3 linked regions of the Arabidopsis thaliana genome follow. The protein of the gene in region 1 interacts with the protein of each later gene in a pairwise test. Each region holds a gene or a part of one and is shown on either strand. Other genes may lie near its edges. The genes, in order: AT2G12646, AT1G21200 and AT4G36590.

The links.
Region 2: the proteins of AT2G12646 (region 1) and AT1G21200 interact in a two-hybrid assay, tested with the Arabidopsis thaliana proteins (one large-scale study listed by BioGRID).
Region 3: the proteins of AT2G12646 (region 1) and AT4G36590 interact in a two-hybrid assay, tested with the Arabidopsis thaliana proteins (one large-scale study listed by BioGRID).

What each region holds. Positions count from the first base shown.
Region 1 is NC_003071.7:5,162,543-5,173,286, forward strand, and holds AT2G12646 (PLATZ transcription factor family protein), read right to left. Parts: upstream 6,762-10,744; 5' UTR 6,481-6,761; coding exon 6,478-6,480; exon of another isoform or gene 6,324-6,477; coding exon of another isoform or gene 6,321-6,323; intron 6,246-6,320; coding exon 6,000-6,245; intron 5,919-5,999; coding exon 5,778-5,918; intron 5,018-5,777; coding exon 4,637-5,017; 3' UTR 4,442-4,636; downstream 1-4,441. UniProt on the Arabidopsis thaliana protein: Probable transcription factor that plays a central role in mediating RGF1 hormone peptide signaling leading to the production of reactive oxygen species (ROS) in roots to modulate meristem size and root growth, probably via oxidative post-translational modification of the transcription factor PLETHORA (e.g.
Region 2 is NC_003070.9:7,417,050-7,427,943, reverse strand, and holds AT1G21200 (sequence-specific DNA binding transcription factor), read right to left. Parts: upstream 6,797-10,894; 5' UTR 6,672-6,796; intron 6,481-6,671; 5' UTR 6,462-6,480; coding exon 5,130-6,461; 3' UTR 4,941-5,129; exon of another isoform or gene 4,548-4,940; intron 4,427-4,547; exon of another isoform or gene 4,333-4,426; intron 4,306-4,332; 3' UTR 4,271-4,305; downstream 1-4,270. Other genes in the region: WAK4 (wall associated kinase 4), read right to left, coding at 903-2,098, 2,174-2,359, 2,457-3,291; LSM3A (Small nuclear ribonucleoprotein family protein), read left to right, coding at 7,088-7,204, 7,457-7,552, 7,875-7,955; SEC5B (Exocyst complex component SEC5), read right to left, coding at 8,533-8,748, 8,859-9,074, 9,171-9,320, 9,432-9,488, 9,601-9,678, 9,821-9,914, 10,173-10,401, 10,519-10,634.
Region 3 is NC_003075.7:17,258,174-17,267,940, forward strand, and holds AT4G36590 (MADS-box transcription factor family protein), read right to left. Parts: upstream 4,055-9,767; 5' UTR 4,017-4,054; coding exon 3,684-4,016; intron 3,387-3,683; coding exon 2,973-3,386; 3' UTR 2,764-2,972; downstream 1-2,763. Other genes in the region: AT4G36580 (AAA-type ATPase family protein), read left to right, coding at 1-63, 214-309, 417-527, 621-930, 1,040-1,130, 1,267-1,597, 1,677-1,825, 1,957-2,488; AT4G36600 (Late embryogenesis abundant (LEA) protein), read left to right, coding at 5,475-5,707, 5,949-6,795; AT4G36610 (alpha/beta-Hydrolases superfamily protein), read right to left, coding at 7,372-7,516, 7,607-7,674, 7,755-7,844, 8,451-9,101.

The sequences.
Region 1 (10,744 bases):
ACTTGATAGAAAAGAACTTAGGTCTAAACAATGACCTTAAAAACTATATATATGACCTAATAAACGTTCAGGGACTAATAATGCAAATAGGAAAGTCTTATGGGGAAAATTTTCACTTGTCTAAACTTGAAAGCGTCATGAACTTCTTTGGGCCCGAAACCGGTGTCGATCAACCCCAAAAGTGTGTCGATCGACCCCAAAAGTGTGTCGATCGACCCCAAGAGTGTGTCGATCGACCCCAAAAGTGTGTCGATCGACACTCTCATTGAACATGAAACTGAAATCGTCCTTAGCTTCTTTTTCCTTACCTTTTGCTCCAAAATATCTGCTCATCTCCATTGTTGTCCCACTTCATAGAATACCTGAAAAGACTCTAAAATGACTCGAGAAATAACAAAAAGACTCAAAATCCTATATCTAAAACATAGTTAAAGACAGAAAAATAGGGTTATATCAATCGACAAAAACCCGATGGTATTCTGGATTTTGTTCTTTTACCTACAAAAATCACGCCGAAATGCCAAAGTTTTTTTGCTTGACTTCTCTGCATATATATCAACTAACAATCTTATTATCATATAGCTTTAAATATAGAGGTTTCCGCGAATTAATACTTTAAAAATCCTAAAATCATACTCTTAACAGATTGATAAAGGTAACAAAACATTATCACAAATAATAACAAAATATCACAACAAATAGCAACAAATTAATAAAAGTGTCAAAATGTTTTAAAGATTTGAAGAAATGCTTTCATGCCCATGTCCTTCAATCCTCTTTATGATTTAAAAAATGTATTTTGAAATATTTATTAGACCATCTCTATTTGGGAGTTTCTCATGAGAGTTTCTCACTATTAAAAAATTAAAAATAATGAAATGAAAGAGAGAGAGAAAGTGTAGAAAGTTTCTCACTTGAGAAACTCTTATATACTCTCTACAATCCATCATGACATAGCTCTTTTTACCATTGGTTCAATTTTTTTTAACTTTTTTCTTTGCCAAACGTCAATTTCCATTCACTTAATCCTCAAAAGAGGGAAGTTCACACAACTTGAATCTAAGATAATACAAGGAAATAAAGATAGTTGCTTTATGAGTTTTGCAAAGGGATGTTCACTTTTAAAAAAGTTTACAAGGTGTGGTCATAGACGACTATTGAATACGGGCTTCGCGAAATCCTCAAAACATGAAGAAGAAGTACAAGGTGAAAGTTAAGAAGATATAACATACCTTGTTTCTCATCTAAAAGTAAGAAGGTGTTTTAGCCCTTTTTCACTTCTATATGTGCTCCAAAATTTCAACTCAACCTATTTGTTTCAAAACCGATAAAAGTTATTTAAAATAAAAAAAATATTTTATTTAAATATATATATATATGAGAGGTAGAATATAATATTTGATTAAGACTTTGTCTTACTATTTATAGAGAAATTAATTTGTCATGGATTTTAATTGTGGTTTTGTTTTTAATAAATTTGGTCAAACATCGTGGAAATTACATTTGAAAGAATTAATATGCAATAAATGATGATGATGATTATGTTTTTTAAATACATTTGTTTGTGTTTTTATATTTTTATTTTCAATAAATGCAAAGAAATATGTTTTCCACAAAAACATAAACACAATTGCAGTTAATACAATATAATGTAATAAAATATTGATTTATTTTTCTTGGTAATGTAAAAACATATGTTTTCTACTAAAACATAAACGAGATGACAGTTAATACATTATATTGTATTTATATGTAAAGTTATTTTTTGTCAAACATTATAGGAGTTACATTTTATAGAATGAATATGTAATAAATTATGATTATGATTATTATTAAAGTGAAATAAAATATTATATTATCAATAATATTATTATATTGTGTGAATATGAAAATAGTTTATTTAAATTTAAGAGAAATGACAAATGTCGAATGAACAGAGCACCACTTGTGAGTTTTTTAGATCATAAGTTTAGAGGTGGATTGCGCCTACTAAAGGCAAAAATGAAGCTAAATTACACTCCAGACAGCAACCCTAGAAAAAAATCATGAGAAAATAGGACATTCAATTGATGAGTTGTATATCTACACTCTATGCTCTAGTGGAGCCTTCAGAAAGAAAGATGTTCAATGAAGTTTTAACAATCATATGATTTTCGAAATCTCCAAAGAGATCAGGCCAGTGTCATTTCAAATCTTCAATAGATAGACCTTCAACCTTACATCTATGAAAGCTACAAGATCTCACTATACCCTCCACGAAATCCAAAGATTCTAGAGGAGTTAACCCCTATAAAGCAAAAGAAAAAATGTGGTAAATTATTGCTGGATTTGGCTACAAAAGGGCTGACTTTTCTTAATTATCTTTTTCTCAAGATAAGTAACCAAAATAGCTTCATTGAGTTGTACATGTAGACCTTTCTTGATTATGGTTATTGTTAAAAAGAAATAAAATATTATATTGTCAATAATATTATTAGATTGAATGAATATGAAAATAGTATATTTAAGTTTAAGGAAAATGACACATGTTGAATGAATAGAGCACCATTTGTCTGTTTTTTAGATCATAAGTTTTGAGGAACCTTACTTTATTATATAAAATATACGCTATATCTGTAAGATAGCAAAATGTTAACGTAGCTCAATGGTTTAATGTCCTTTATTAGTCCAAAAGGTCTGCATTTTGATTCCCTTGAAATGCTGTTTTTCCTCCTCATTTTCTAGTGTTCAAAACGACATCGTTTTGATATAAAAGAAATTCTAACGAAAACTTAACTCTCTGATTGTTTGGTTGATGGAAACTTAACGACATGTCCTAAATGGTCAAGTTAAACTAAACTTTAAGATTTAAATAGTTTTGAAAGTTCATTTTGTCGTCCTAAATTTAAAAATTTGCGCTTTTTGATATTTTCCCGTTGTAAAGTTTCCATTTATTTATTTAGGAGGGTTTTATACGTGAGACCTTGGCTTAAATATAGTTTTTTTTTTTTGATTAATAAAAGAGAAATTTATTTTTGAACCGCAAAGTTTTTGTTTTCTTAAAAGTACGAATTTTAATTAGGAAAACATTTTTGTTTGGACACACATAAAAAAAAAACAGTTTTGGTTCGGTTGTGGGTTTGTTTTCAGATTTTATAATAGTGAAACCACACAATTAAGAAATTCATTTTACTTCTGTTTTGGTTTAATTTGGTTGGTTGCAGTTGTTTTGCACACCCTTTGGTTCTTTACAAAATTAGGCAAACTATACAATCAAGTCAGAATACTAGACCACGAGAGATCACCCTCGTTGTACTTGCGACTCGCCTTAAAAGTAGTAGAGTATATGTATATGAAACCTTAACAATACGTAAACTTAAGCATTTCTTGTGGTAATGTACCTCAGGATTGGCATTTTGCCAATGACTTTTCTTGTGTTATATCGATAAAGAAAAAGATTGTCCTGGATGGAAATAAAATGAAGAAACTAAATCCATCTCTTTTATTGTGTCTAACATCTAGATAAATTTGGACTTTATCCCCCATCCTATCCTCAAGTACTCTTATTCCAGGCAGTCTTTGTGTTATAACTTTGACTTCTTGGTTTAGAGAGCGGGAGATATGGACATCTCCAATATGTATTTTCATGAATACTACTATGTTATACATAGAGGGATATGAACATAGGTTTTTTTTTCCTCCAAGGCATTTTGAAACCGAACCACACCGACATTTTCATGCCCAGTGAAAGCTTGTAGTGTATATCTACCTCTCTGTTTATATCTCTCACATCTATTATTGATGTGCCTGCGTATGGGACCGCTCGCTTAGCTTCACCTTTGTCTCCTCCCATATATATCCCGGATCGAAAAATGGAGTGCGTAAAACCATTAAGACTCTGTGTTTCTATTATCATCTTGTTTATAAGAAAGTTACGAATCAATACTTAATTTATTTCACAATATTGATAGGATTCTGTCTGATTTTTTCAGAATTAGTTATATTTATTATATTTAACATAAATTACAAATATAAAAATAAATATCAATTTAAAATATATATGTATATATTTATAATATTGTTTTGAGAATCTCGTGGGTTCAAGTTTTAGTATTTTATATATATAAAATGAGTAGAAAAAAATTAGCTCTTATGAAAAAACAATATTAGAACAACATGAAAGATCCCACAGCTCGGAATTAGGAGCCACGTGAGTCACCATCAGAGCTGTCCAAAACAAATCTAATTTCATATTTCAGATTCTCCATATTATTTAATCTGAAACGATAATCTAAGCTATGAAAGCCGAAAATGTACAATTTCATATGTCAAAGACAAATTACATTGACTTCAACCTAGGTTAGATATATATTAAGTGACAAAAGAAATACTTGGCTGAGGCCTTTTAGGGATATTGAGGATACCAGAGTAGAAGAAACATATTATTATGCGATAAGATAATTTTTTTCTTATGAATTTATAAGGTATGCTAAACTAATATCTACGTAAGCAAAATAAAATAAAATAAAAAACTGATTATAAACTTTATTAGAGAGACCGCACGACAAGAATCCATACATGTAACATATAAGACTATATGGTGAAAAGAAACTAATAAAGAAGATTAGAAAACAAAAACAAAGAAGAAAAGAGTACGTTAACAGAGAGGAGATCGTTGAGGAACGCCTTTTCGCCGATTGATGCAAGCAGAAATATCGTCAGGATCCTCCGAAACTTCTTTATAACTATTAGCCGATTTAGCGCAAAGGCAAAAACCAGTCCTTTTTTTCCTCACGACATGGGTGGTGGTTGCGGCATAAGCAGCCGCCGCACCCGCATTGTTGTTATCCGAGGAAGCTGAGGACCAGCTCATGGACTCATCGCCGTCTACCACAGTTGATCGAGGAGTCTCGTAGGCCGCCACTTCATCATCTGTCAGTAAGTCTTGTGGGATGATGTAGTCAGGACCTAGGGTTAGAGTGTGGCATGGCTTGAGGAATGGGGTTATGTCCCTGTAACGTTTCATCACAAAGTCCACCTACATGTATATAAACCAAAACCTTTTATATAATCACATAGATTACTACATGCTCAAAAAGCTTAGATGTTATTCTGAGAACATGATATATTTATTACAAAGTGCAACATTGAAAAGATTTGAAAGTGTGGTGGTTTCTTAAAACACTTAGGGCCAAACCACTAGCTCAAATGATATGGGAGTATTTACAGTATTTATGCACCAAATTTACATAGTTCCAAGTTCCAATGGCAAGGTCAATGATAGACTTATTTATTAAAAAAGTTAGCCTCCCCTTTATAGAATTTCTTCATGTTTTTTTTTTTGTTAAATACATTAGTTCAGAAGGACAAGATTTCAAAATCGAGCCATATACGGGTTATTTAATAAATCCTTTTTTTTTTCTTGAGATTCTCATCTGCGGAAACTAACAAACTTTACGGGTTGAAAACATTTTAAAGGACAGCCAGGTTAGATAACTAAAAAAAAAGTGTGAATATTTTAACCAAAAGTAAAATAAAAAATGTTTTACGTTTGAAAAACAAAAATCAGGGTATTTGGTAGTATACTTGTTGTAGTATCCTGTTGATGTATTCGTATTTCTATTTGTGGACGAGTTAAAAGGGGAACATGTGTTTCTATCATAGAAACGAATCATCTATAAAGTTTAGACTATCACATAATTTAATTATTTTATATATATGCTAAGTGCGAATCATATAGTCAAGTAGAATTGAGTCAAATATTATGTAGAAGTAATATATAGTTAAGATGAAATAACCTTACAACCCAAGGAGCAATGGATATAAGGTTCTTGAAGACTTCGGTCACAAGAAGTGCAATAGTTGCCAGCTCCTTTGAATTGTCTATTTTGTGGTCTCTTCTTGATGAACACCACTTTTGCACTATTTATTGTATAAGCCTATCCACAATTCAACACCCAATCCATTTATATACATATATAGATATGAGATAATACATATATGTATAATAGATTACTTACTTGAACGTTAGAGCAGTCGATGAGTTTCTGAAGATCTTCAAGCCGAACAACGTCGTGATACACATAACGGCGAACTTGAAGGAGTCTATGGAATCTATGAGAGGGTACACAGTGAGGGCAGAGACTGGTGCAACAATCAAGACAACACACGTTCCTCTCGTTCTTCTTCGCCGTCTCATGGTATGGACATCCCACGAAGAACTTCTCTGCGTATAGCGCATCCAACCATGCCGGTTTCTGAATTCCCTACCAAATGATTTACAAAATCTCTAAAATATTTATCTCATAAACAATCTTAAATAAGTAAATAAAACTTCATACCATAATTCAACTGTTTCCTACATCCACCATTAAATCTATAATTAAGTACCAAGGAGCCAAGATGAGGATAAAGGGTACAAATATAAGGAATTCGGTACGATGATTGAGGTAATTTCACTACTTAAGATGGTATAGAATTGAAGAAGTAGTAACCTACCATGAGGACTCAACTGAAAGTCAGCTTTGGGAGATGGAAACTTTTGGCCACTACTCACTACAAAGAGTAATATTAGGAAGAGAAAAAGGATTCTTTAGGGGAGTACTTGATGATAGGATTTATGGAGGATCACAAGGGAGAGAGAAAGAGAGAAAAAAAAAACTTATATTTGATTATTCCTCGGAGATATAACTCTTTTACACATTTTAAATATCATATAAACTTGGTTGTTGTTTATTAGTGTTGGTGAGATGAGAGATAGAGGGAAGAAAAAGAGAGAGAAAGTGAGGAACGTGGGAGCTGTTTCCGTGTCTCCTACTTTAAACATATATTTATTGGGTCATCTCCTTGGCTTAAGAGCTTAATTAGGTTAAACCCTCCGTGAAGAAGAGTCTCTAGTAGCCATCACCAATTTTAATTCCTTATTTCTTCCTCTTATGATCTACCAAATACAAGAGAGAAGGATAGATGTGTTAAGACTCATATTGGTGTTCATTAACCAATTGAGGAAGATACAAAACTAGTATAAACTATTAAGTATCATCGGTCCAAGCATTGTGAATAGAATAGTAATGTATGCTTTGTTAGAAAATAGTTACATAGGCTTGTTGTAGATATTTATATAAGGTTAGTGATTCTTAAATTTAGACATAATAGATTAAATAAACAATGGATATGGATTGACTAGTCAAATTATTGCCTAGTAATACATTACAATAAGTAGTGTTCCAAGTAGAAGCTATGCAATGCAACCTACTTGGGCTAAAGATAAAAATGAACGCGACAAATTTTCGTAATGCAATCCTTACACCCTTTAATTACCGATAGAAATGTTATCTACTAAAAACTCATATATTTTGGTTGAACCAATTTTTAGATTCGTGGAAACTTATACACCGTCAAATTCTTGATGTCGTGGTATTAGTACTAAAAACTTATTTTATGCTTTATTATATAATATTTCAGTCTAATAGGAGTAGAAATGTACAGAGCATATGGTTAATCATAATGGTAGTAATTTATTAATTACAATACCCAAGAAGAAAACATCAAGAAAAAGATTCTTCTGTCTTACGCCAACTTGTTCTATTTAAATGTCATAAACGTCTAAATGGTACCGGTAAAAAAAAAAACAATTAAAATGGTACTTCTTGTTATGGCAGATAATTATATTTTATACGTCACCGTATTAATGTATGTTTATATATTAGCTGTTTAATCAAATTAAGGAATACTACCTTGCAATTTACATTAAAGTTTATCTTACAAATCTTACATCTTCTACTAAATTTTGTTGAAAATTTCAATTCTGCATAAAACAACCGCCAATTATAATTAAACATGCAATGATTTGTATAATTTTAACTTTTGTTTCCGTTTTGGGTAAAATATGTTTGATACAAATTTTTTTAACTTGTTTTATAATTTTTGAAAAATATTTGGGTTTACTTATAGAGGTGAATTCTTTTATTCACCTCCTTTTTCTCTAACCAATCAGAATCTTCCACCAAATAAAAAATATATAAACTCATTTAACTGTAAAATTAACAATAATGATTTTATTATATTTTCTTATTTTTTATTTTAAATAAATACAAATATAAACTTTAAATTCCATAAAAATTTAAAAATATTTCTTTTTTTTAAATGAATCATCATATCAAAAATATATTCCTCAACATGTCCGTCAACATCTACTTAACAATTTTAAAGTACATATTTGCTCATTTGTATGGATATGTTTTTTTTTATTTACTATATCTTAACTTTTTATTTTTGGATAAGAAAATCAAATATGATGTTTAATGCTAATATAAAACATTTGAGCTAATTTCCTAAAACTTCTCTACAAACATAAATATATGATTCTCATTTCACTTTTATTTGATCTTATATTTATATTATTTTGAATTATAATAAAATATTTATTGTTAATAAAATTTTAGATTGTTTCTGGATATATTGTGATTCAAAAGTTTTTAAACAGATATATATTACTCAATCAATGAAATATATTTTTTATGTATAATCTAAAATATAACAAAATTAAATCATTAAAAAAAATTTAATCGATTAAGAAACATTTGCTCATTTATTGTGGGTCGGGTTATAATAAAATGATGCAAAAACAAAGCAAAAATGTTTTTACAAAACCAAATAATATGGAAAACCATATAAAAGATAAAATAATAATGGACAAAAATATTGAAAACTAACCAATAAGAAGCCATACACAATCAATCATAATTTTATAATAAATAACAACAAAAAGTATTATATACAACAATTAATCGGTTTTTTAAAAAGAAGAAATTATTAATCCTGCAGTGTATATTGAATTATATATTTTTAAAATAAAAGTATTATTAAAAAGAAAAATAAGAATATGATGTTTATTTTTAAGGGACGGGATTATATGGTAAGACGGGTTTGGATCGAGGTTAATACATGACAATATATCACAGATAAAATCTTAAAATTAACAATCAAAACACAATTATACAATCTTAAATACGATTTAGTTATAAAAAATCTACCAGGAGTGTAATCAAATTCAAACATAAGTTTCTACCAATAAAACATAAAAAATAAATAATACACCAATGTCATAAGTTTATAACAAAAAAGTATATATATTTATTTCACGGTGTATTTCATACTTATTAATTACTGTCCCAACTATTACCAACAACAAAAATACATTTGTAACATCTTGTTTTATAGATAAAATAATTTATTAAATGGCGACACAAAATGCGATTTTGGGACGGTTACTTTATCATCTTCTTCTCGTCGGTTGGACGACGGTTTCCATCACTTTCGCCGGCGTAGTGGGTGGTTTCTTTTCCACCACTTCTCTGGTTTTCATCCACGTTCGGATCCACGATCTGGCGTGATGCTTCATCAACGGTTGCGTTTATGTGCCTATTTATTGGCAGATCTGCAATTCGACAAATCTCTACAATTTTCAATATCATCTCTGCAAATTTCTATCCTCTTCGCTTCTATCAAAATCTCTCAAAAATTGGTGACAATTTGCGTCGGGCTGTCCAAGACCTCAATTTGGGTGTGAATGACGAACCCATTGCTTTACCTGAAGACATTGTGAACCAAGCTGTCGCAGAAAACCGTTTCATCCTTTTTCGGGCGTCCTGTGATTCCAAGGCGACAAAACCTCCGTTCAATCATCGCTTCTATGCCGCGAATCTGGGGTAAAACCGGACTTGTTCACAGCCGCATAGTGGAGGGTCGGGATTTTCAATTCATTTTCCCAAATGAAGAATCCTTGGAATCAGTTTTGTGTCGAGGTCTGTGGGCTTTCAATGATCAAATGCTGATTCTTCAACGATGGGAGCCCTTGTTGCCGCTCCTCAATTTCATTCCTTTCTGGACCCAAATCAGAGGCATTCCATTCCAATTTCTCAACTGTGGCGTCGTCGAGCACATCGGACGGGCCCTGGGACAAGTGCTGAAAATTGATTTTGATGTAGAGGCTGTGGCGCGGGTGGATTTTGTTCGTGTTCTCGTACATTGGGACATCACTATTTCCGTAAGGTTTCAGAGGAAGTTCCAATTCACTGCGGGTGTTAACACACTTTTCCGGTTCAGATATGAAAGGCTTCGAGGCTTTTCTGAGGTTTGTGGGATGCTGACCCATGACTCAGGGGCCTGTGTTATCGTGAATGGGGGAGAAGAACAAGATGATGATGACGATGAGGATGACCAGGCTCCGCAAGGGCGTAATCAAGGAGTGGTTATTAGAGAGATTAATGATGATGAAGATTTGGAGGGTTTGGAACATGTTGCTGTTAATGTCCAAAACCAGGATGCTGTAAACCAAGATGACAACAATGGTCCGGTTGAGGATGCTGAAGCTGATCTTGCAGATATTGATCCTAACCATGATGCTCTCTTACAATCTGCAAACTCTACAATGTTTCAGGAGGAAGGGAATGCTGGTGGTGAGCTCTTTAACCCTTTTCCATCTTCTGCTAATGACTGCCTTGATATCTCAGGAACCCCTCATTATAATTCTCTACCACCTTGTGCCTACCCTCTGGCTATCATGGACTCTGAGTGTGTGATCAACTTGGCTCCTGACACTACCACAGATCGTGTCAAACGTAAGCGTGACGACGAAGACAACTCTATGGAGATAAAAATTGAGGCGACTGAATCCATGTCTGCGATGAATCAAGACGGATCCCATATGCAAACCATGGAGACCTCCCTACCGTCAACCCGTAAGCGTAACGATTTGGACCTT
Region 2 (10,894 bases), on another chromosome or scaffold:
TCATAGATAGATTTTCCGATTCATGAAACTAAAATCCTGAACTAGAACTCTGAATTTCCAGTTATATACTTCTAAAATGTAGCACACCAATTAAGTGGATAAGTATTACACAATCTCTCTTGAACAGATGTGATATTTTCACGAGAAAAGATGATCTCAAGCATAGTGTTCTTAAACACATCAGATTAGCGGCCGGTTTCAATGTCCATTATTGCTTCATAGGTCAATCATTTGAACTTCTTCTACGTCAACTTCTCTCTGTCCTCTCTTCTTTTCTTGACATCGCTGGGAATTGTTACCCTTCGTAACAGTTATTTCCTGATCGCAAGTTCACAACATGCTCTGTTTTGTTTTGATGCCTTTTTCAGTTATCCTGGTCCTATGTAGTTGTTCCATCTCATAATAACATTTTACGTTTTAGATATTCCTCACACAACATGCTCTGTTTTCTTTTGATGCTTTCTTTAGATTCTGTAGTTTCTTTGAGTTTTTTTTTTTTTTTTTTTTCACCGTAACGAGACATCAACATAGATTCAAGTTCATGAATTCTTGATTTTGAGTGAATTCTAAATCTTCAAATACCAAAGGGATTTATATACACACACAGATACACAATGATTGATGATCTTAAACCACCAATCCATACATTTCCTGAATGCAATGTTTGGTACACTGTTTTTACATGTTTTTTGAGGAGAATCAAGGAGATAATAAATCAAACTAAAAGAAGAGTTATAAAACACAACGATTGATGATCTGGCGAAACAAGAATGTCTCAAGCTTTTGATTATTATCTTTTTTATTTACAGGGTTTTATTAGATGTTTACTATGAGTATGATGCGGGAAGAAACCTGATCATATCGAACGGAATGTGGCCAACAGTGAGAGTTGGATGGAGATATCAGCGGCCTGCTTCAATGTCCAGTATTGCTACATTCCTGATACTATCATAGCCAATGCTGCTGCTGGTTTCGCCTTGTGCTGATAATTTTTGAACACCAACCAAGTGCTCAGTATCCTCCTGTTCAGGATACTCATCTGACCACTTATGTTTGGTTTTTGTGACTCTCAAGGCCTCAAGCTCTGCAGCTACTTCCTTCATCCCTGGCCTTTCTTCTCCCGTCAATCTTGTACACTCAACAGCAATTCTTGCAGCTTTCTGGATCTCCCTCTGATTATTCTCGTTCATCACTTGGCCATCAATAATCTCGTGCAACCTATTCTCTTTCGTGGCTGAGGCAAAGTAACTCACTATATGTTTTGAAGTCTGTGGCCTTTCAAAGCACAATGCCTTTTGACCTGATAACAGTTCCATTAGGACTACCCCAAAGCTATAAACATCGCTCTTTTCGTTTAGCAACCCTGTGTTGTAATATTCTGGGTCTAGGTAACCTAGAGTTCCTTGCACCATAGTTGCGAGGTCTTCTTTATCCATTGGTATCAGCCTTGAAGCACCAAAGTCAGCTACTTTTGCAGTTAAGTTTTCATCCAGAAGAATATTTGCAGTTTTGATATCGCGATGGATGATTGGTATAGAAGCAGAGGAGTGAAGATAAGCAAGAGTTCCAGCTATTTCTACAGCCATTCTCAAACGATGTTCCCATGTTAGAGAAGAATCAAACATAGAACCGTGTAAGTGATCGAAAAGGGTCCCACTGGAAATGAACTCATAGACCAACAAGGGAACTTCAGTCTCTAGACAGCAGCCCAAGAGCTTGACCACGTTCCTATGGTTGATTTGTGAAAGCACAAGCACTTCATTGATGAACTGCTCTACTTGGCTATTGTCTCCAAGCCGAGCTTTCTTTATAGCAACTATGGAGTTGTCCGGTAATATACCTTTGTAGACTGTTCCTTGGCCTCCCTGGCCCAAGATTCTGTTCTCATCATAACCATCAGTTGCTTCCTTCATTCCTTCCTCAGTGAAGATTTTGACATCAACATTTGATGGCCCTGCTCCTGAGAGTCGCTGCATCAACATGCCGCCACCATTTTGCTCGAAGAATTGTTGTCGGAGCTCGGTGTCCTTGGTGTTCTTCATTTTATGTTCTATACAGCTAATGGCAAGCAGAATGACCAAGAAGCCGATAGTGGTTCCTGGTTATATCACAATGATTAGAGTAAGTTGTTTCAGAAAAGAAAGAATAGAGAATCAGTGAGAGAGGTGCTTACCAAGAACAATTGTAGTCCATTCAACGTATTCAGGATTGCCTTTAGGTTTGCAGGTATTAGTGGTGGTATTTAATTCGTAACGAGATCGACAATTACAACGGAAGTGTCCCAACTTGTTTTCACAGGTGCTGTCACCCGAGCAGTTATGTTTATGGATAGGATTAGCAGTAGTACACTCATTGATGTCTGGCCCAAGTTAAAAAAAAAGACTCAAGATCCAACAAGAAATGTATGAGGAAAACAATTAACTGAAGTGATAGAAAGAAAACAAGTTGTGAAGTACCTTGGCAACCGTTTTGAAGATATGGATTCCCCTGGAAACCTCCTTTGCATTTGCATGTATACCCGATCCCACTAGCAGAATTGGAACATATGCCATTCACACCGCATTTCTTTTCTCCAACTTGCCCACATGTCTCTCCCCTAATAGACCAATCCAAGACCACAGGAAACCCCACATTCCTATTCTGCAGATAAGAATATTTGTCCGAAGCATTGTACTTAAACTTGCCATTTTCAACGAGAAAGGCGTAGATGCATTGACCCTCAGAGATAGGTTGCACTGACGTGTCGTTGTCAAAGCGATATGATCTGACTATTAACCAATTGTTCCCTGCAGGGACGGGGTTCTGGCAGCAGCCTTCACCATTACATTCTCCATTTGCTTCATGGGAAAGAGCATCACATGCTGATATGCATCCAACTGAGTTTCTTCGAGTTCCATTAGAGGACACAAAAGCGTACGAGTTACAGCCTAATGCAGTAATCGTGTTGTTGCCGGAGAGAGTCAAATTACCTAGATTACTCCAGTAGTAAGTCCCTTTAGCGAACTTTCCTTTGCTGTTGTAGCAAATGTAGGATGCAGGATATAGGACGCGTAACTGGCTGCTGTGAGATATTTCGACCACTTCAAGGCCCTTATAGAATAGATTCTCGTTCACACAACTGAGATTGAAACTAGGATCTTCGGCACGCCAACAACCTGGAGAAAAGCCAAAAGGGTACTCAAGTGTAACGTTGCCACATTTTTCGGGGCAACGAGGCAAGGTTTGCCCCTTGACCAGCTGCATATAAGAGAGGCAGAAAATAGCTACTAAGAACAGACGCTGCACTTTCATCTTCTTTATTTATTTTCTCTCCAAACTTGATCTTTACGCAGGGCTCTTCATCATATCATCTATTTAATTTCGGAGAACAATTCTCATTTCACCTTCTAGTTTGCTTCCTAAATCTACAATACTATAATCCATTGTCCAATAACAAAGCTAAGACATTTTCTACTTTATTACAAGGGGGCGTTGAAGTATGCTTCATATGCCATATAATATCTCAACGTCTACGTTTGCTTCACTTTAACAATTTGTTTTTTTTTTTCTGACGGAGTCAAATACCATAACGGTTGGTAACTTGTACAAGAAAACACCAAATGGAAAGAATACGTAATATAGAATAGAGACCCATTTAACAATAACGAAACAGCCATTTGATCTCTCGTCAACTCGAGTCTTTGTCAATATTACCTTTTTTTAACATTGATTATCACATCAAACTGTTTTTTTTTTTTTTTTTAATGTATATGATAGTTAAACTTAAACCACCTCTGGAAGAGACTTGATTACTAACCATAACACGCTCTGTTTTATTTTGAGGTTTACTTTAGTTTGCAAGTCAGTTTGGTGTGGGAGCCGCTCAAAGAGATAGTGAAAGCTTGAAATGCAGAGAGTGGATACAGAATTCCTACCTTGGCAGGGTCAGACTTATCCAGCTAAGCTGGATTTGTGGTTGGTTCGCTACAAACAGGTGTAAGTTGTTGACCAATGCAATTGTTACACGTCTCCAGCACTGCAGCTGCTCATGACTTGATATGCTATCAGCGTGAATGGGGATCACATACTCGGTGTAAAGAGTTCTTCTTCTGGTGCATTTTTGCGTATTGAAGCAACAAAGCATAAACACCAAGGCAGATACTAGAGTTCCTTCCCTTGTGGTTCCGGCTCCAACCTCAGGAAATGAAAATTTTCATGCTACGCCTTGATTGACTTCTTATATTCTCCATGCTAGGAAATTAAAATTTTCAAGGTTTTAATTGCACAGGTGTATGAAGCAGCGAGTCAAAGACGTTTACACATAACCTGCAGACCAAAAAATATGAGTTTGTTTCAAATTTAGAGTTTTCTGGATACTTAAAAGTTAATATCGAAGAAGCCCTCTCTTTGTTAGTAACTAATAAGTATCCAGAAAACTCTAATTTGAAAAAAACAGAAAGGAAAGAAGCTTCTCATCACTAACCAGCCAAAAAATGAAACACAAAAACTGAAAAGAAGCGCAAGCATGAGATGGACCTAAAGCAGGCAAACATAACATGCTTTTTAGTCAGAAACATCTTTACATTTATGTTGAAAGAGACAAAAGAAGAACATGTGACTGCAAACTGAAAGAAACCTTTAGAATATAGCTTCAAGATTCTTCAGGAAAACTCAATATCGTCAAACTGATTCATTTTCCACTAAAGGAGATGTGATGTGATCCAAAGTATAAACTGCTAAAGGTTATCTGGATCCACGTCCAATAGAAAATATGTATTAAGGTTCCATGTCGAAAAGTATTCAATCTTCTTAGAAGCAAATAGTTAGCAACAACTCATTCTCAAACTGGCTTAACAATGAGATATTTGTTACACATTGGATTAAGATGTCGAAAACAATACAGCAGAACAATGAAAATAACCTTAACCAGTTGAGTACTGAGAAGTAGAGTTAAAACAAACCTTAGAGAGCTGCTTATATTAACCACTCCTTTCTCACTACATTCACAAACTTCATCACTGATGCAACCACAAAGATCTCTCACATCAAAGTCTCGAGATCATTCCAATCAAAGCAAGCTTACAAAAGCAGAAAATGAGACTTCATTTAGCAAAGCTATATACCAATCAAGAGAAGTGAAGCCAATTCCGTTATAATTCAACACCCAATTCCCTTTGTTTCAACTCCAATCCCATCCGATCATTCTCAAGTTTCATCCTTTCATTCTCCATTCTCATTCTCTCGAGTTCTTGATCCCTTTTCTTGCTAAACCTCTGCCACCTGAATCTCTGTTTCTCCAATTCCAGCAATTCAACTTGGATCTGAAGCTTCTGCTCTTCTAGCTGGAGAGTCCGCGACTCCATCCACTGCTTCTGCACCGAACCTGCTCTTCCACTCTCCGCCCCACCTTGATTCACATCAGCTTGAGAAAACGGTATTTGAGGTAAAGAGACTTTATTACACTCCAGAGAATTCACATGACTCGGATGATCTCCATCTTCATGGCTAAGGCTTGGTCTTATCTTCTTCAAAGGACCACCACCACCTCCATAATGATTTACCCTACAATCTCCATACGCATAATGTTGCTCCTCATACTCATCATGTTCATCACCATCACCATCATGATCCTCATCATCAAGATCCTCCATTTGATGTTTCCTAGAATCATCATTATCATGATCATCTCTGCTTCTAAGCGCCAACTGTAACGAACGCTGCAAAGCAAGGTCATGAGGCAAATGCAACCTATTCCCATTATGATACGAACACATCTCTTCATAAAAAAGATGTTTAGAACTCATAATCTTCCTAACATCATCCTTCTCTTTATCATTCAAGTAACCAATCGAATCCAAAAGCGCAGGATTCTCAACAACTTGACAAGATGTTCCTCTACCAAGCATATCATTAAGCTTCTTATACCGTTTATTCAAATCATTGAACTTATCCTCACATTGCTGCGGCGAAACATGATAACCTCTCTCAGCCATAACTTTAGAAACAGATTTCCACTTCCCTTTCTTCTGCAAAACAGCAAACTTTCTTCTACTACTACTATCTATACTCGAATCATCTCCTATATAAGAAACAGCAGTAATCAACAACTTCACCATCTTATCAGTCCATTTCACTCGTTGCCATGGAGATCCTTTAGTTGATCTATTAGCTTCATTATGAACACCATCACCACCTTCCTCTGTGAAACTTGGTTCATCATCATCACTCACTGAATTCTTCTCTCTTTCAGCTTTCTGTTGCTCAGACATAGACATGTTCTGATTCTGATGATGATCACAGGTTTGACCTGTAACCATAGTAAAGGGAAGACCTTCATGAAGTGGTCTAGAATTAGGATTGTGTCGATGCTGCTGATTCATGGAGTCTTGGTGATGAACTCTCATAGAACCTTGTAAATCAAATCCTCCATAAGATGAAGCTCCACTACGAACTACACCTCCTTGTGGAAAATTCCCATCCATTTTTGGATCAAATTTCTTCCTAATTCATCAGAGAAATCGAAGAGAAAACAGATCTCAAAAAGTCAAAACCTTTGTCAACAAAATTAGTACTGGATCTTAGGGGAATATTAAAGATCGAAACTTTAGGAGAGAATGAAGCAGAGAGGAATCGGGATGAAGAAAATAAAGCGGTAAATATATGAGAGATGAGTCAAAGGAAGTAAAACTCACAGAAAAAAGTTTGCTTTCGTCTTCTCCGGTCAGCTTCCTCAGGTTTCTCTTCTCTCTCTGTATATGACAAAAGGCTTTTTGATTAAAACAACCAATATAAAGATTATAGTAAATTTAGTGTAATGAAATGACCAATTGATACCTTGTGATTGGACTTAATATAGTTAAGTTCCACTAACCATGATTTATTTGCATTAGATGATTTATTATCTTCATAATACTTCGACGAAAAAAAAAAAAAGAGCTAACCATATTGGGCCGATATGAGAGCCCAAAAACATAGTAAAAGGCCGAATCGTAAGATGTTGGTTTGAAGTTTTTAGGGAACCAACGGTGGCGATTGCTTGAGCTCAGTCAGAGAGATATCGCCGAGAGCACTACAATTTCAAAACCCTCGGAGAAGTTATAATCAGAAAATGTCAGTCGAGGAAGACGCCACCGTTAGAGAGCCACTCGATCTGATTCGGTTGAGTATCGAAGAGAGGATCTATGTCAAGCTCCGATCTGACCGTGAACTCCGCGGCAAGCTTCACGTACGTTCTTAACCACTCGGATTCCAGAAACCAGTAACCAGATGTGATCTTTTTCGATTTTGAGCTCCTTTTTGAATTCCTTATTCGTTGAATTTAACACTAGTTTTTATTCTTTTCACAAATATCAAAATTTGGACCCATTTTGTTGAGTTTCAGTTTCGAAAGCCTCAGCGAGAGCTAATTGGCGTAGAAAACCTCATAATCTTGTTAAATTCTAAGACTCTCACTTTTGTTGTTGTTTTTGTGGTGTAGGCTTTTGATCAGCATTTGAATATGATTCTGGGTGATGTTGAAGAGGTTATTACGACTATAGAAATCGACGACGAGACATATGAAGAGATTGTTCGGGTATGTAATTCTCTTAGCTCAATAAGATTTATTAATCTATGTAGGCTTTAGTAGTAAGATAAACGTTTTTGGGTTCAAAATATTTCAGCTATCACAGTATCTATTGTCTATGTCTCTGTTTGAGTTTAAAGGAGAGCTTGATTCATGTAGAAGTTAATAGTGCTGGTTACATAGAGAGTGTTCATTACCAATATAGTAACTCTGTTTAGTTTCTCAAACTTGAATTTTGTTGTTTGCGCTCCAAATGTGATGTGCTAACTTCTCATTAGACTAGTGTAGAATCATATGTTCTTCTCCTGCTGATGTAACTTGCTTCTGTCAGACAACGAAGCGAACGGTACCGTTTCTATTCGTGAGAGGAGATGGAGTGATATTGGTGTCACCGCCTTTGAGGACGACCTAAATGTTCTTGTGTACTGGGATCGGAGTTAACAAATCTGGCGCTGAGTAAAAGCACTTTTTTCTGATTACTTGGCTTTTGAATTTGTAATTGTGTGGTATGTTTTTCTTTGTTGTCAAACATTGAAACCGAATGTAGCATTCGAATCTTGGTAATGGGTGCCTCGTTATAGTAGAATCAGTGTAACATACTTCGTATTGTGACTTTCTTACCGTTTACGATCGGATTTAGTTTCGTTTTCTGGTTTGGTGTAGTTTTCTCTAAAGATTTGTATACTTCCTCAAACTCATTGATTTCGAGCTCTATTATGAATAGTGATTGGTGACATATTTAGATGTGTGTAACCCTAGGAAAGACATTTTGATTAACCAAACCATCAAATTGATTCACAGTACAGGAGGCTGAAAACGCAAACAAGATTGATTTCATGAGAAAAGATTAATGTAATTGTAAGCATGTAAATTTACAGTAAAAAAAAGATTAGTGATGAAATTAAAAGTTTTGAGGTATCTATCGTAAGATATAACTTGTCATGATCACCAACACGCTTCGAGCATAGTAACAATGGAGAAGAGAAGTCTTATCTTCGTCTGGGTCTGGCTTGAACCGGAGAACCCATTGGTTGTGACTCTCTATAGTTTCTGCTTGGAGAATCAGTTGATGTTCTGGAGTAGGCAGCTTTGGCTACTGGTGGCACTGGATCCAACGGAATGGTCTCAATGAAACATGCACTGTTCAAACGGGTCTTCTCTAGCTCCAGTTGAAGCATTCCGCTTGTACATTGCTGTGCAAGAGCCTAAAGCAGCAACAGTAACAAAGCAAACCCGCTTTTAACTGAATGTGCTAGCGGTTTTAAGTATTGAAGATGGTAAATATTAAGTGGTGGTTAATGAAAAATGTTCTTACAAGGAGATCATCTGGGGATACGGATGATTGTTTGTCATCTGAAATTGCATCTTCACTGCCACGTGTTGGTTTCCTTTGATGCCCTCCCGGGTTGTTCTCAACTGTCTCGCTTATACTCTCTATAGCTTTCTCCAACACAGCTCCTTGCAGAGACTTTAGAGACTCGGTTGCATCAACCGTCAAATATGGCTTCAGTATCGTCTCAAAATACTCGAGCTGCATCCACCAGTTTGTGAAAGCAGATCAGCATCACAATTTTTTAACTATTAATCCATTCACTCAAGTAAAACTGAGAAGACAAACAGATTTTACCTCAAGCATCAATTGGCAGAAACCATTTGCATCTATTGAACTCAGGTCGTCAGATCTGTTTTCGTCTAGAAGACTGAGAAAAGTATCAATCAGACCTTCAACCAAAGTGCCAAGAATTTTGTCCAGGAGTGGTTTGGCACCCGCAAATACCTGCAATTATAATTCTTAGTACTAAATTAACGGGCTTTGACCCAATTGTGGTGGTTAGAAGAAATGGTTGTAGAAATTTGAATATCTAATGGTTAGAAGCAATGGTATTACCTCTGCATGGACAGCTACAAGAGTGTGTAACAGCTCAACAGCAGCATCTCGTATGCCCTGAAGTAAAGGTTTAGTTATCGTTTCTTTAGACAAAATGCTAAAATGGTCTATTCATTGGTTCTTCTAAGGCGCAAAAAAAGTGACAACTGAGAGTAAACTTGCTACTTACTTTTACTGGAGGCGCTGCCCCCCACTGAATACCAGAGTCCAGCAGATAATTTGTGGCGGCTGTTCTGATCAAGTTTGCCTAGGTACAAGTGAAATAGATGCAAACTTAGTAGGAATGATTTGAAAACAAACAATCCTTGTTCCATTGTTCAATGGCGGTGCATCAATTCTCTAAGACACAGCGAGAACATTACTAAACTATCAAGCAGATTAATCGTTACCTTAGCAAAAGTGTAATGTTCGAGAACCTTCTCTCCAAGACCAGAGAAAGACATCATTAGATCTTGAAGATCGCTGATGTCTTCATCATTTCTCCTGCAACATTTAAGAGACACAATGATAACCAGTAAATTTTATAACACCATATAGTAATTCTTACGTTTACATTCAAAGTTTTGATTAGGAAAGTTCAGATATTGGAACCAATTATCTTGGTTGAGACATTTAACCATGACTGTGTTTGTCATTCAGACATTGGCATTAATTATCAAGGTTCTGACATCTAAGCATGACTGAGTTTGTCCAACTACTCTGCCGATCGTACCAGTGAATTCAAATAAAAAAGAAACCCACCTAGACTGTAACCAGGTATATTTGTACTTGTTGTAAAGCTCAGAGGCAAGTTCGTCTTTGCAGTAACCTATATTACTTAAGATCATCAACAACTGCCTGTGAGGATCAACAACACTTTCAGGAGCATTGATTGATTGTTCTTCCTGGTGGTCATTGGAGTATCCATTTTGCCAACTCTCTCGCTTTGTAGTGCGTTGAGAAAGGTCAGCACCAATTTGCTCCAAGTGAGCTGATATGTGCAAAAATCAATTAGCATATTAACATAAAAATTTCTTTTTGTCTGCCCACACATTTATGTGGGCATCTATACATGTACTTTCACGGAAGTTTGGTGTAAAAAGCTTACCAGCAAAATCCAGAAAGCAGTTCAAAAAGGCAAGTCTAACAGATATCAGAATTTCTTCAATATGCGCAAACATATCTTCGGATCTAGCAGCTTCACCTTTTAAAGATAGAATCATCCTGGAAAATGTATATACAGAAATTAGCAGCCATATAAGGCAACATCGCTGTTAAAAAACAGAAATTGGTGGTAGACAATTGCATATGCAGTTCTCTGATTGTCTCTGAACTCCATATTTATGGTTCATTTTCTGAGTATCATAATATGACTAGTGATTATGGTCCGAGCAACCAGAATCATAAAAATGGCAATTTGGCAGCTTCCCATTCTTCTCTAACTAGAGAGAGAAGTAGAACATCAAATCCTAGGGTACGGTCTA
Region 3 (9,767 bases), on another chromosome or scaffold:
GAGGCTCTTGAGAGAGCTGCTAAAGCTCTTAGAGATATCAATAGCTCTCCCCATTCCAAGCAGGTGACCCTTCATATCTATTTAGGGAATGAAATTAGGATTTAGCAAAAATGGTATGAAAAAATTGGATTTTGATCTGTGGAGATTGGTCTTTTGGTGATTGCAGAATTGGGGTTTCTTCTTAGCTTATTGGGTTCTTGGTTTTTCAATTAGGTGTTTGATCTCATGAGGAAGCAGGAGAAAACTCGGTTAGCTGAATTAACGGCAGAGACTTCTCATTACGAAGCTATTCAAGCACACAATGATATTGTGAGTAAACTTGAATTTTCCATTTTTTCTGCCATTTTTTTTTATCTGATTCTTGACATGATTGCAAAGTAATATGATTTGTTTTATGGGGCATTTGAAATGGGCAGGGCAGACAGCAGAAATTGGCTGAGGACCAGAGAAATCTTTTGCAGACACAGGCGCAAACCAAAGCGCAAAATCTGCGATATGAGGATGAATTGGCCAGAAAGAGACAGCAGGTTATTCTTTTTTTCTTATGTGTTCTCGTAGATGGATTAATCTTTCTGAAGTATAAAAATCTTACAAATGATTTTGGTTTGGGAGTAATGTAGACAGATCATGAAGCTCAGAGGCATCATAATGTGGAATTGGTTAAGATGCAAGAGGCGTCTTCTATCAGGAAAGAGAAGGCAAAAATCGCCACAGAAGAACAGATCCAAGCTCAGCATCGCCAAACTGAGAAAGAGAGAGCTGAACTTGAGCGAGAGACGATTCGTGTCAAGGCCATGGCTGAAGCTGAAGGTCGGGCTCATGAAGCCAAACTTACTGAAGAGCAAAACAGAAGATTGCTTATGGAAAGGATTAATGGTGAAAGAGAGAAGTGGCTTGCTGCAATCAACACAATGTTCAGTCACATCGAAGGTATGGAAACTGATAAATCAAGAAAAATATATCTTTTTGCTTTTGATTTTGAATAAGGAAAGATCAGTTCTTTTTGTTCCTTTTGCTTACTTCTATATGAAATTGGCAGGGGGATTCAGGACCTTATTAACTGATCGAAATAAGCTGATTATGACTGTTGGAGGAGCTACTGCATTAGCTGCAGGGGTTTATACAACTCGGTATGCATCTCCGAACCAAATAAGCTATTGGATATTATGGGATTCTCTGAACCAGTCTGATTTGACTCAAGTGATCTTAGATTCTTTTATCATTTTCTAATGTAATCTATTTCATGAATCTTTTTGTGTTTGACAGTGAAGGAGCTAGAGTTACATGGGGTTATATTAATAGGATGCTTGGACAACCGTCACTTATTCGAGAATCTTCCATGCGTAGATTTCCATGGACAGGCTCAGTGTCTCAATTTAAGAACAGGATCTCAGGGGCTGCAGCAGCTTCTGCAGCAGAAGGCAAAAAGCCGCTTGATAATGTAATTCTCCATACTTCTTTGAAGAAACGAATCGAGCGTCTCGCTAGAGCTACAGCAAACACCAAATCCCATCAAGCACCATTCCGCAACATGATGTTTTATGGACCTCCTGGTACCGGTAAAACTATGGTGGCAAGGGAAATAGCTCGGAAATCGGTGAGTTATTATCAAAACTATGGTAGTAGCTTTGTTAGTACCGTCTTCATGAGTTCTTAGATACAATTATTTGTTGCAGGGTCTGGATTATGCTATGATGACAGGAGGTGATGTTGCTCCCTTGGGATCACAAGCTGTTACTAAAATCCATCAGATATTTGATTGGGCTAAGAAATCGAACAAAGGCTTACTTCTTTTCATTGATGAAGCCGATGCTTTTCTATGCGAGTAAGATCTCCTTCTCTTCTTTACAAGGATTAGTGGATGTTTTAGCGTTTTAGGTTTTTGACAGTAATATGACAAAAAGATTGCAACTTTTTCTCTTGGTTTCAAGAAAGATGATTCCTTTTTCTTTGCAGGCGTAACAGCACTTACATGAGTGAGGCTCAACGTAGTGCTCTGAACGCTTTGCTCTTCCGAACTGGTGATCAATCTCGGGACATTGTTCTTGTCTTGGCTACAAACAGACGTGGAGATCTCGATAGTGCGGTTACAGACAGGATTGATGAAGTCATTGAGTTCCCACTTCCAGGGGAAGAAGAACGTTTCAAGCTTCTCAATCTCTATCTCAACAAATATCTAAAGATGGGTGATAACAACGAAGACACAAAACCGAAATGGAGTCATTTGTTTAAGAAGCTGTCACAGAAGATTACCGTTGAAGAAGACTTAACTGATAAAGTGATTTCTGAGGCTGCAAAGAAGACAGAAGGATTCTCTGGCCGTGAGATTGCAAAGCTTGTGGCTGGAGTACAAGCTGGAGTGTACGGACGAGCGGATTGTGTTTTGGATTCACAGCTTTTTAAAGAGATTGTTGAATATAAGGTTGAAGAACATCACCGAAGGCATATGCTTGCTTCTGAAGGTTTTCAGCCATTACTCTTCTCTTAGTCATTTGGATTTTGATTATACATGTCATTTACTTGATCAGAAAGAAGAATCTGATTGTTTTAAAATGAGTCCTAAAATTGAATTTTTAGATTAAACATGTTAAAGAGTTTTACAGAATCTTGAAGTCTTACATATGAACACTTCTCGTTGTTAACATTAGATTCATTTCTGTCTGATGAGGGTTTCTTAAAAAATTGTTTTGTTCATTTGTAAATCTGGTTTGATTTCAGTATATAACATTAAGCTTAAATAGCAAAATAAAAATAAAAATATAAGTAAAATTAAAGGATAAATAAATTTATTCTGGATACAAAAATATCCAAAAACAAAGGAAAACAAACGACGAATAAAATGAAAAACCAACCAACTGAAACAAATTAAAAGAAAAAACAAACTTAAGTCTCACAATACAAGAACAATCCTAACAGTAACCATAGCCAAAATAACGCAAATATTGATTAGGATGTTCTTCTAGCTTCAGACTCTAGCTCTGGTTGAAGTTGTAACTTGACATGTAGTTCATGTTGGATATCGGAACGAGAACTCCATCATTGTTGTATCCAAACATTGGTGGTGTATGATTGGGAAACACCATGTTTGGATTATAGTTGAATGCATTTCTTCTTTGATCAAAAAGATCAATGCCAACATTACCACCACCAATCACGCCAGAACTTTGACCAAAGTAATTCTGCGAAACATTTACTTGAGAATATTGAGACATTTCTCTTACCAGTTTCTTTTTCACATCTTGAAGAGCAGATATCAGCTGGTTGGTTTCATTCATGTCGAGATCTTTCACATCTTTTTCATACCAGTTTCCTACTTGTTCTCTGGATTCTTTCAATAGGTCCAAAACCATTCTCTTCTGTTTCTCCTTTTCCTGGTTTGCCAGCACCTGCAATGAGATTCATTTCATCATGTTGTGAAAAAAACGAGATATGGTTTATATATTTGAACATTTTGAAGAAAACAATCTAACTATGGATACCATTTGATATCTTTAACAATCTAACTATGGATACGATTTGAAAACAATCTAACTATTGATGGTCTCTTTTTCCCTTAACAAATTAAGTTATAGACATAGAATTGGCATATATATATATATATATATATATATATATATATATATATATATATATATATATATATATAATTCTCTTGCATTTTTCTTTAAAACAAAATTGTTTACCTCAGTGAGTATATTGTTGAGATATTGGATATTTCTATCCGGACGGGTTTCAACAAGTTGGAGATTGTTGTTCTGATGATGGACAATGGCAGAATTATGGTTAGGATTCGAAAAGCGATGAATGAGTTCTTGAACACTTGGATGGCCAAAAGAAAACACTTTCCCACCAGGAGAGAACACAATCAACAGAATCTCTGCACCACTTAATGTGCAAAGTTCACTAGCTTTTTTGAAAAGACCGAATCTTCTTTTTGAGAAAGTAACCTGAAGGTTGCTTTCGTTTTCCATTTTTTTCATCTCTATTTTCTGACGACCTTTGGTACTTCTCACCATTTTCTCAAAAATTTGAATAAACAAATGACAAATTTGATGCTAAGAAATAAAATATGTTCTTTATATTTATACAGGTGTATTACATATGGAAATGTAATACATTATAGGTCCATTATAAGTAAACATAATCCTTCAACCCTTAATTTTGCCAAAAAATTAATTTTCCAATTTGAGGAATATTTCATAATTATCTCTGAAATTTCTTAAGGACATAATTATCTCTAAAATTTCTTAAGGATATAAAATTCATGATATTTCAAATGCAATATCATTATATTAGTTGGTAAATGCATAACAGTTTGACAAATGTATGCACCAACTGCCCATGAGAGGCACATTAAAATTTTATGAGCTGTTTGTTAAAATACTTAATCTATATTTTTGGGAAAAATCTTGAACAAAATTATCCATTAAATTATTTGTTTGTATACAGCTAATGCAAGTAATATTTATACAGTAAAACAAAATTTATCTATTTTTGAGATATCACAATCATTACTAGATAAAATATACAGTTGTACTTTACATAATAAAAAAAATTATTAAATGAAATTCAAAAGATTTTGAGTTATGGGCCCAAATTTTTTTAATTTAGATATATACCATTTACTAGATATATTTTTCATAATGATAGTGAGTTATGTTTATTGAAATTAACATTTCTAAGATATAAATAAAATGATTTATACTCAAATATTGTTGATTTTTAACTATCTTTGTTCTTAAATAAAATGTTTGAATATTACAATAATCATTATTGATTCTTATAAATATTTTAAATTATTTTATATAATTGATTTTTTGTGAAAGTTTACACTATCTGACTTATCTTATTAGAAAACTTTGTAATTGTATCGTCAAAACGTTTAAAATTGGTGTCTTCTTCACCTCTCTCACTTTCGGTTGGGCTCATGCTGGGTTTCTTGTTGGGCTTAGTTTTGTTTTTTTATGGTTTAAATCAATTTTCTTGGTTGAACCAAAAAAAAAACAGTTTTCTTTAAAAATGAGATGACAAAAAAAAAACATTGGATTAACTAAGAAAGGTAAAAAAATAAACACTTTCTGATTTACCTTTTTACTGGATTATCCGGTTTGTAACCCTGCTAAGCGCATGGCTTCGGTTTTCTAAACCGGTTATTTTAATCTTTCCAAGTATTGAAACTTCCTCTACGCGACCGGCCACGTGACCTCGGGTCGGGAGACACTAACCCTACAAAATCGAACCACAAGTGGACACGTCGCAAGCACTTCCAGCATAACCGCCTCTTTAATTGCCACGTAAACATCGAATAACCACGTAATCATCGAATAACCACGTGTCTTACAATAACCGCTTATCTAGTGAAAGAAAGGAATGTGATCTCTCCCTCTCTCGCTCATCTATAACTAGAAACTTCCTCCATGAAGATTGGAACCAAGAAACAAAACAAAAAATCGGAATTTTAAAGAATAGGAATAATGGAGAGAAGAACGTTGATGATGATTATGATGCTTACGACGGTGGTGACGCTGACGTGGCAGAAGCAATGCTATGGATGGGGAACGGAGACAGCAGAGGATATGGTTAGAAACGAAGCAGAGCATGCTAAAAACGCAGCCGAGACCGCTAAGAAAATGGCGTCCGATGCGGCTCATGACACAAAGGACAAAACCGCCTCTTGGGCTGGTTGGGTTTCCGACAAAATTTCCACGTAAGCGTTAACTTTTGTTTAGGCATGATCATACTTCTATTTTGGATCTGTGTTGGTTTCTTCTAATGGAACCATCTTCTCATAGTGTTTGATTTCAAATTGTAAACGTAGATCTGAGTTTTGTTTTAAGAGAAATTTGAAATGTATATATATAAACGCATGTTACGCATCATTTGCATTTCAAACTGTGAAGTGATTTAAGAATGATAATATATAGATGATTGATCCAATATTGTAACAGAGGATTGGGAGGCAAGAAAGCTGAGGCAGAAGAAGCGGCTGAATCTGCGAAGAACTACGCTTATGACAAGGCTGGATCCGCCTATGACAATGCGGGTTACGCCAAGGACTTTGCATCAGACAAAGCCGGATCTGCTTACGATAGTGCTCATAACGCAAAACATTATGCTTATGATAAGGCTGGTGATGCAAAAGACATGGCCTACGATAAGACCGGTCAAGCCAAGTACATGGCTTACGACAAAGCAGGATCAGCCTACGAAAAGGCCGGTCAAGCCAAGGACATGGCCTACGACAAGGCGGGTCAAGCTAAAGACATGGCCTACGACAAGGTGGGATCAGCCTACGACAAGGCGGGTCAAGCCAAGGACATGGCCTACGACAAAGCAGGATCAGCATCTGAGAAGGCTGGTCAAGCCAAAGACTTTGCCTATGACAAGGCAGCTCACGCAAAAGACGCTGCCTATAACAAAGCAGAGGATGTGATTAAGATGGCTACGGATACGAGTGGTGAAGCTAAAGATAGTGCGTATGGAACATACGAAAGATTCAAAGAAGGATCTAAGAATGCTAAAGACATTGCATCGGATAAAGCTCACGATGTTAGAGAAACCGCAGGGCGAGCGGTGGACTATGCTAAAGACAAAGCAAATGATGCATACGAATCGGGGAGCGAAGCAGCCGGAAGATTCGACGAGGCAATGCATAAGGTTGGGGAGAGGTATGGTGCAGCTAAGGATTCTATGTCGGAGAACACAAAAGAAGCTTATGAGAGTGCAAAGGAGAAGGCTTCTGATGCTGCTGGTGAGTACGGTTCATATATGAGAGACCGTAGCGCTGAGCTTTAGAACTGAAAAAATTATAACGTATAGCCGTATAGGGTAAGTTTGCATTTAGATTTCAAATCTTCGTTTGTACAATAAATTTCTTATATATATGTGTATATCAGCAGTATATGTATATGTAAGAATGGTGGAGTTGCTTGTATTAGTTGCAAAATCAGATTCTCAATGAAAGGCGAGTTGTTTCTTTACTCTCGATCTATCAACATGGTAGATCATCTTCTTTTGTGTTTTGTTTTTGTTTTCTTATCTTTTGGTTAACAAGATCGGAAGAAAAGGTTAATTGTTTTGTGCCGAGGGAGTGAAACAGAGAGCATTGTTGCGAAACAGAGAAACTGAGTTTTTGCGTTACTTATTGATTTAATGTTGAAGACATTGACATAAAGTACCGAATAATTAAGCTAATACTTAAAGAGTGTGCATGCAATAATGCTCATAATCAAATAGTCTCATAAAGATTAATATTACATATTGTGATCATAGTAAATGACAAAAAGACAAATCAAGTAAAAACAAACCCAATAATTATTCAATCTCGACACAAATGATCCATACATACAGTATATCAGGATCAAATAGAACTTAATGTAGCATTTTAATTTTATCTTCCGAGTGAATAGATGCAAGAAACTTTTTGAGACGCCTATTGTAAACACAAGGTCTTTCCAATTGTACCAAATGGCCTGCCTTCTTTATACTCTCTATTGTTGCGTTCTCACCTATTTGTCTAAAAATCATAACGGCAAAAATTAGGATAACACCAAAAAATCCTTTCAAAATGGCAGAAATTATAAAATTATAATATCTTCAAACTTACTCTTTCATGTCTCTAGCCAATTCGAGATCAAAGATTTGATCACTTTCACCCCACAAGAAATGTATTTTCTGCATACACACATGAAATGCTATTATATAGAGTCTAAATCCTACAAATCATACGGATGTGGACATATGTTCATACGTACCCGTGGGAAATGAGGGATTTGCGCTTCCTTGTTGCTGACCACAACAGCCTCTAACAGTTCAGCTCTTTCTTTTCTGTTGTTAAACATTACCTACCAAGTTCACCAGTAAAGCTTAATTTAGGACCATACGTTCACATTTATTCAACGAAAAACTCTTAGAATATAGTATAATAGAAACTCTAGTTAAATCAATCATTGGTAGACAAGTATAGTGACGAAAAAAACATATGTTACCTAGAAAATAAATACGAGATGTAGTTGAGAGTAGTTGAACAAATTAAGCTAACCTTTGACAAAATAAAATATTTTTAATAGCTAACCTACCAGAAATGTAGATTTATCTAGAATCTATTTTTCGTTACTTACTTCTATTGTATATAATTTTAATTTTTAGGCAACAAATTGGAATTTTAATTTTAAAGTTCCAATTCATTTTCAGTTGATCGAATAGAGGTAAGTATACTTCGCAAGTCCCACCTAACTCACACAATCACTCTTTCTTGGAAACGTGATCCATATGAATATGTCCTTGCGACAGTAAAATATACTAATAATGTGAATTTGTGGAAAAATAAAAAAAAAGAAAGAAAAACTAACATGCTTTCTTACTCCAAAATGTAATCATTTGCTACGGAATTGTTATTTTCACTAAAGGAAAAGAAAATAAATAAATTAACTTTGAGTAGTAATAATCACCTCGATGTAGTCTTTGAACAATCGTTTAGGGAACCACAAGGGTTTATGCACAGCAATGGTGAAGAGAGCCTTAAGTCCCGTAACAGAAGTCGGTAACAAGAGATCCGTGGAAGAACTAAACCCTAACCGGTTCAAGCTCGCCTCATTAATGGTATCGGTCATTGTGGGAATCGAACCAGACACAACGATTGCTCTAACCATGTCCGGGTAAGCTTCAGCGATCTTGAAAGCCACCATGCCCCCGTAGCTAAACCCTACGGGAACAAACTTATCCACGCCGAGGATACGAAGCCCCTTGACCAAACAGTCGGCTTGAAACGCCGGAGACCGGTCCGAGTTGTCGGTGTAGGATCCACCGAAAAAGAGGAGGTCCGGTATGTAGACCGAGTATTTCTTGGATAATGCACCGACTTGGAACTGCCACGTCACGATTCCTTCGCCAGCGAAACCATGGATTAACAAGACGACAGGCTTTTTAGGTTTATCGGGTTTCGTTGGTTTTCCGGTACCGGAATTCTTCTTTAGGGTTTCCTTAGGGACCCAAAAGTTGATCTTCGTCCCTGGTTCGATCTCTAAAGTGTAAGGAACGACGCCAGCCATTTTCATCAGACCGTACAACAATGGTTTTTGTACCTCAACAAAGTTCACCATTGTGCAAGTTTTGTTTTGTTGTTGTTGTTGAGAGATGTTTGAAGAGAAGCCCAAATGGGATGCAACATTATATAAACATTTTTTCCATTCGATCTTTTCAAATGTAACTTGGAGAATTGGCACTTGGATTTGGAATTTGTTAAAATGTTAGGTGTTGGGTTGTTAATCTATGCTTTTCTGTTTTTTTTTTAATTAGCCTCTTAACCAGTACAAGAACACAACAATTCTAGAAACTAAAAGTGTCATAGTACAGTCAAATCCCTTCAAAATTCCATTTATGATATTAAATAGACCGAAATCACTAGATTACCACCATTTGATAGTTGCTTTGGTAATTTTTTTTGTTTGTTTGTCATTATGCATGATTTTGAGAAAATGACTTAATTAGCTTTTCAATGAATGATGACAAGATAGCGTTTGTTGGATCTAATTACAGTTGGGGAGATACCCGGTGGATGACCTAAACATCCTACTTAAATCCGTATGTTACAGTTTCTTCTTGCGTAGCGGATAAGTAATGTATATTTGTATGATGTATATGTAGGTCTTGGTAAAATAGAGTTTTATAGGTATAGAATCTGGCGGTGGTCTATATTCCAATTTTTAAAAAATCGTTTCAATTTGGAATTTCATTTGACTTTGAATGGAATTTATATCGAATGGGCT